2 linked regions of the Danio rerio genome follow. The protein of the gene in region 2 interacts with the protein of the main gene of each other region in a biochemical or structural test. Links are inferred from orthologs where the notes say so. Each region holds a gene or a part of one and is shown on either strand. Other genes may lie near its edges.

What was found.
Region 1: the proteins of rc3h2 (region 2) and klhl6 form a complex in vitro, tested with the Homo sapiens proteins (2 studies listed by BioGRID, with this or other methods). The link is inferred for Danio rerio from reciprocal best matches to the Homo sapiens genes RC3H2 and KLHL6.

The regions. Positions count from the first base shown.
Region 1 is NC_133177.1:39,635,303-39,638,797, reverse strand, and holds the end of klhl6 (kelch-like protein 6), read right to left. Parts: intron 941-3,495; coding exon 639-940; 3' UTR 516-638; downstream 1-515. UniProt on the Homo sapiens protein: Involved in B-lymphocyte antigen receptor signaling and germinal center formation.
Region 2 is NC_133185.1:10,221,730-10,225,564, forward strand, and holds part of rc3h2 (roquin-2), read left to right. Parts: intron 1-2,502; coding exon 2,503-2,635; intron 2,636-2,717; coding exon 2,718-2,836; intron 2,837-3,835. UniProt on the Homo sapiens protein: Post-transcriptional repressor of mRNAs containing a conserved stem loop motif, called constitutive decay element (CDE), which is often located in the 3'-UTR, as in HMGXB3, ICOS, IER3, NFKBID, NFKBIZ, PPP1R10, TNF and in many more mRNAs.

The sequences.
Region 1 (3,495 bases), on a different chromosome or scaffold from region 2:
CTTTTGATTGTGTAACAAGAGTATAGAAGCTTTGGAACACACTACTTCCACTTTAATGGATCAATGTGTTGCTTCGTTATGAGCCCTGCCAATCATCCACACATCATTCACCATATTTCTGCCATATTTAATTTCCTGTCTTACTGGAGAAGCAACAGTAGGATAATCTGCCATTCACAAGTCTTTCATGCAGAGAATTTTCTTTATGCATTCAGACGTTAATGTGCAAACACATCTTTATATTAGTTCAGTATTGTTGTTGCAGATCAAATAAAACACAGACAACGCAATTTAAATATTTTCCAGTGGGCTAGATATTAATTAACAGTAAATTCTATTTTTAAATAGTATTTCGGATGGATAGTACGCGAATTGGGACGCAGCATTGAATTTTTTTCATTGTCACATGTTTTGTTCTCGACATCACATTTTATTATGATCCCAACTTAAAAGTCAACACCAAGAGAACAAGAAAGACAGTCTTAGGGCTTCCATATAAACCTGGCTTAATAAATGTTAGTAGAGCCCAATGTAACCTTTTCAGTTCCACACAGAGGCAGGCGCTCTAAGAAGGAGGCTAAACAACAAAGCCTCCACTATACAAACTGTAAAACTGCACTCTCCAGCTGATATATCTGTCATCCAGTGGCAGTTCCAGGTGTTATCCTGCGTATATGCGTGTAGGACTTCCTGATAGTCACACTGCCATGATGAGAGACTCCACGTGGAAGCACACACTCCTCTGTTAACTTCTTTGTGTCCGGGTTCCAGCAGAGAACTGTCGCGATCACCTCATTCTTGTCATCGCGGCCTCCAGTAATGAAGAGCTTGTTGTTGCACGCAGCAATGCCACAGCTGGCTCTCTCACAGCCCAGCTGGATTATCAGCGTCCACGAGTCTACCAGAGGACTGTAGGAATACAAAGCCTTCATCGCTCCACCTTAATTGAGTAGAAACAATGAGACAGAAAAGATCAAAATTAGAGAACAATATACAATTTAAAAGTAGCTTTTAAGCATGGGTTGTTTGTAATATTGAGCACAGTTTTAAAAAAACTTGAATGATATTTAAAATGATGATTAAAAATTAGCTATCTCTTTTAGATAATTCCCAACATGCACCTTGATGACAAAATGACATCAAATCAATTTGCATTTTCGTCACCTTTTTTATGTCAAATGGTCATCCATCCACCTATTTTTATGTGCATTCTGCATATGCGCATTAAAAAATGGTTGATGGAAACACCATCATGCGCATAAATTTTGAAAATGCACATAACAAACATGCGCATAACTGAGTAGGATGAACTTTTTATTCAATAAGGAAAGATGCGAATAAACTACGATGAAAAATATTTTACCTGACAAATTTAAGTATGCGCATTAAAAAAGGTCATGTGAGTTTGCGATAAGAGATCGTGTGATTATGAAAATGTCTGTGAATGGACAAACAGTATGAGCACACTGTAAACCATCTAAAATGTTGTTTTGGTCATTCTAAAACACCTTACAGTTTCAGTATTAGTGTTATATTATTAATAACTTCCAGAATCAAGAGCGTCTGTGCTCCGCGTCTTGACACCTTCAAACGCTACCGCGCGTTCTCTGCGTGTCAGGATTGCCTTCTGATCCGCAAGTCATTTATTAGATGAGGAAAAGACTGAGGCAGCTTCTCCTACTGCAGAAAATTCTGTTTTTACTGTTGATATAGGGCACCAGTTAATCAGATAGTGACGATTTTGTTCACTTTGACTCGTTGGATGGAAACGCTGCTTTATTTTATCTTTTATGCGATAATCCAGTTTTGCACATAAAGTTCATTCGCATTTTTGGATGGAAACATATTGATGCCAAAAACACCCAATTGATTTTATTTTTTATTTTTAAATCATTGTTTTAAATTTCTTTTGACATCAAGGTAGTTTACACCTTGAATATTTGTCCAAGGTATATTTGTAATTGAAGCTTTCAGATTAAAAAAACTTTTCTTATATTATAATACTTTGTGTTGTTATTTTGGTCATCAAATGGACAACAATGGCTATGTTTCCATCCAAAAATGTGAATTCCATTTATCCACAAAACTGAAATATAGCATAAAAGATGTGCGAATAAAGCACCAAAACTGGCACCAAATATCTACAGTAAAAATTTTTTTTGCTGCAGTAGGAGAAGCTGCGTGAATCTTTTCCTTATTTAATAAATAACTTTGTGCCTCAGAAGACGATGTCGACACACAATGAATGTGTGGTAGCGTTCGAAGGCGTGAGATGTGGAGTACAGACACTCTTGACAGTTCTGGAAGTAATTAATAATATATTAACACGGAAATGGTTATGGCGTTTTAGAATGGCCAAAACAACATTTCAGTGGTTTTACAATACGGTCAGCCTGCTGGTTTGTCCATTCACACACATTTTTTATCATCAAATGATCTCTTATAACAAAATCGCAGTTTTTTTATGAGCATACTGGAATTTGTTCGGTAAAAGTGTTTCCATCGAAGTTTGCACATTTTTTCCTATAGGATAAAAAGTTTATCCTACTCAGTTATGCACATATGTTCTTTATGGGCATTTTCAAAATTTATGCACATCATGGCGTTTCCATCATTCGATTTCCAAAATGCACATAAAAATAGGTGGATGAAAACATAGCTCATTTGTTTTGACATCAAATCAATTTGCAATGTGTTTTTGACATCATTTATACATCAAAGTTCCCCACAGGTTCACAGTTATTGGTGCGAAAATGCAGCTGCTGGTAATTTTTTTTATCTGATAAACCCTATTTTACTGGCAGCCAAACCTTTTATTTTCACTGACTTTTCAAGATAGTGAGCCATTGTATATAAAGGTACTAGAGTAAAAACTGGAGACCTAAGTTTAAAATAACCAAAATCAATGAAGTGTCTAAAACAATAAAACAAGTTAAGCTGAGCACAGTGAAATAATGAAATGGCCAGACCAGAGTCCCAAACTAAACCTGACTAAAAAGTCTGCAAAGTCTTTTGCAGCAAAGTTATATCTAAGAAACCCCTACTGAACTCTGGAAGAGACTGGAGAAGAGTGGATCAAGTTCACAGCAGTGCAGTGAGAGACTAGTGATGTCCTGATGTGCTGAAGCTAAAGTAAGGGCCTTTGCGATTTCTGCTAAATTATAATGCCTGTAGCATTCAGGAATTTTAGTTGGGATCTTTCCTCATGCTCCAACAATTACTTCAAAAAATTGTTGTGCAGAAATGTTTTAAAATAGTTCTAAGACCATTTCATAAATTAAGGTGTGAATCAGAGAAAATGAACGTGCGCACAAAAACCAGTGTAAGCTTTCTTCAGATGTGACTATTGAAATTGTGCATAGCTGACCGCTTTTAAATCTCTGCCTTGTAAAGTCCCATAATGGACTCTTCACAAGCTTGTTATGACTCGTTTAACGTGTTCATCGGCATCTTTAATCCTTTAATATTTTCATTTTTTTTAAAAACGTATGAACA
Region 2 (3,835 bases):
ACAAGGAATGCCTGTAAAAAATTTAAAATGAGAACAACCTCATTTTAACCATTGGAAATCAATAGTATTATATGATACAACTGATAAAACAAATTGGTAAGACTTTTGGTAAGAATTATGGTCCCTATTGGACATTTTGTTGACTAAAGGTTGCAACTACATGCCAATTGCTTCTTGTTTGAGTTATAGTAGACTGTCTGCTTAATATCTGTTAATACTGCTTCTTCAACAGACATTTAACTGACTATTAGAAACTTTGCAAGTACATGTCAACTTACACTAACCCTAACCTTAACCTAACAGCCTAATGTAATATAATCTAATGAGAATTCAAGACTTCACACTTAGCTGATGATTGATTATAAGCAAGTTTGACATACTTTCCCGGAAGAAAGCCCTGAGCCCAAAAGGTCCTTAAGCCCTGGGCTCCATCCCGTTTGCAGGGCAAGGGGGGAGCCTTGAGGTAGATCTCGACAACTCCCCCCTTGATAAGAGCTGATGACTAAAATGAATGCTATGAAGAGATATGCTGCAGGATGAGAGTTTGACTGTAGTGCTAAATTTAGGTTGATCAATTCACATGTAGTGCATGCTTTTGGAATGTGGGGGGAAACCGGAGAACTCAGGGAAAACCCACACGAGCACGGGAAGAACATGCAAACTACGCACAGAAATGGCCTGTTAAAGGACTAGAACCGGTGACATTCTTGCTGTGAGGCAACAGTGCTAACCACTGGGCCACCATGCCGCCCTATGAAGGGAAAGGTGGAGAAGTAGGGGTGGAAGGGGGGATTCTTCAAATCGAAGATGGCTGTAGTGAGAAACCCTGGCTCTTTATAGTGGGTTAGGACTGGCCTGAGTGGTGGATCATACGTAGCTAATGCAGAACCAGCTGTGTTCAGTCATAATCACGTGATCCTCTCGAAATTAGTTTATAAATAAACTTCACTTAGTTGGCATTTAGATGCAATGTAACATAAATTCTACAAAATGCGTTAAAGGGACCATCAAAATAAAGTGAAACCCAAAAAATCTGATAAAAATAACAAATGTAATTTCTGCATTCAGCAATTTAGTTAAGGAGAGAATTAAAATGTAAAAAGTAAATGGTAAATTCTATGTTAGCACTCAGTTAAGGTTAATAAACTTCAGCTCATACGTTTATTGTACTTAAAACTGAAATTTAGTGTACAATGTATCTTTGGGGTAATATAAAAATAGCAAACCTAAACTTTTTGAAAACTGGTGTTGTCATCATGAGCCGTGAAAAAAGCAGTGCATGATGGGCATCGCATAATCAAAAATTGCAATCATCCTTTTTATTAATTTAGGTTTTTTTTAAAGAATCATTGAGTATGTTTACATGGACACCAATCATAATAGTTTTAATTAGATCAAGATAATACTCTGATTAAGAGTCTACCATGTAAACAGCGATTTTTGATTAATTTAATCCGACTAAAGTCATAATCGAACTAAAGAGAAATCGAATTAAGACGTAGAGTATGCAGATTTTAGTCGCATTATTGAAGTGCAGTACAGACATGTAAACACAGCAATCAAACTATTACCGCCATGTAGGATTTTCGCTGCATTTTGCGACAGGATATTCCATACACACTCGGCTGTTTGACACTATTCTCTGCACCTGTCGAGTTAATGAAGGACCACAAACATTAATTGCAGCGCTTTTTTTCCCATACGGCGTGTGGTGTCAAACTCCATTTGAACAACACACGTCCAGCAGTTTATTCTCGCATCCAATATCTCGTTTGTCACGGGGAGCTTGCATGAAATGTTCCTGAATGAAAGTGAAAGTGTCAAATTGCAATTAGGTTCAACAAATCAAAAATGAAACACCTGAAATTACATGAAACTTGGGAGGAAATGTGGATAGCCTGGTGACGCAATGATGTTAATCGAATTATGTGCTATAACATGTAAAGAGGGATCATGAAAGGAACATTTGAAAAGCAACTCATGTAAACACCTTAATCATATTATTGTCTTATTCAGATTAATGCAAATAATTTAACTACTGATGTCCATGTAAGCGAAGTCATTGTAAACATAAACCACAAGTAAAATATACTTGGAATAAGTTCAAAGTGTCTACAATTACCTTTTTAAGTTTTGTTCTTGCTTGTACTAAACTCTAAAATTATATTTGCTGCTTGTTTAAATTACTTAAATTGAGTTGAAACAACACAATTTTTAAGAGTTTTTGAGGACAACGTAATTCTTTTATGTTCAATCCACTTAAATTTGTAAAAACGATGAAGTTAACTTAATCGATTTGTGTTGGGACAACATAACAAAACTGAGAGAAACCCAGCATTTTAAAGTGTAAATTATTTAATTTGGAAATCACTTTTTTTGTAGTATTTTCTTGATCGCATTATAATTTTTATCTCTGTGAAAGAAAGTAAATAGTTTTAGACTTTTTTTAGAAAATGTTTTGGCTCTCATCTTTATGACTGCTTTTGTCCTTTTCCACTACAGCTTCAGTCCCCAGAATCCTTTGCGAAGAGCGTGCAGGAGCTCACCATAATCCTGCAGAGAACAGGAGACCCAGCCAACCTGAACAGCCTCAGAGCTCCTCTCGAGCTGCTGGCCGGCATCGACCACAACCCTGGTGAGCTCTTACACCTCCACAAACACCATGAGATAATATCATTGGAAATAACCGCTATTTGTGTGTGTGTGTGTGTGTGTAGATGCAGCTGCTCCATCTTGGCCAGAGCTGGAGAGTGTGTTACTAGCCGTGAAGGTTGTTGTCCATGGGCTGGTGGAGTTCATCCAAAATTTTAGCAAAAAGAGCACTGAAAGCCCTCAGGTATTGCTTCAGGATCTGCTGAATACATTCATTCCATATTACTTTAATTATAGATGTCAGAAATGCAAAATGTTTTACTGTGATGTAAATGTATTAGGGGTTTTCAAGAAGGTTGACATTGTTTAATGTAGTATGTGACAGATCTAGCTGTTTACTTTACCCTTGATTTCACACTATTATTTATTGGTAATTTTGCAGTATTGCTAATTGGATGGTCTGTTAAAATATACAGCATTTTTGAATTTTAAAAACATATTCATCCTATGATGTAGTTATTCAGTGAGTTATTCAGATTCATCAATATTAGACCTAAAACGTATGAAGCACAGTTGAAGTCAGAATTATTAGCCTCCCTGAATTATATGCCCCTCTGTTTATTTTTCCCCTAATTTCTGTTTAACAAAGAGAAGATTTTCTCAGCACATTTCTTAACATAATACTTTTAATAACTAATTTCTACTAACTGATTCATTTTATCTTTGCCATGATGACAGTAAATAATATTTGACTAGATAGTTTTCAAGACACTTCTATACAGCTTAAAGTGACATTTAAAGGCTAAACTAGGTTAATTAGGTTAACTAGGCAGGTTAGGGTAATTAGGCAAGTTATTGTATAACGATGGTTTGTTCTGTAGACTATCGAAAAAAATATTGCTTAAAGGTGCTAATAGTTTTGACCTTAAAATGTTTTTCTAAATAATTAAAAACTGCTTTCCTTTTAGCCAAAATAAAACAAAGACTTTCTCTAGAATAAAAAATATTATCAAACATACCGTGAAAATTTTCTTGCTCTGTTAAACATAATTTGGTAAATATTTAAAAAAGACAAAAAAATTCAAAGGGGGGCTAATAATTCTGACTTCAACTGTAAATAGTTTACTTGAATATATATATTACACAAATAGCATAATATTTCATTAATATTTATTAAAGAAATATTTTATTAATATGTTTTAAAAACATTTTTAATATTTCTACTTTTATGTTTTTTCATTTG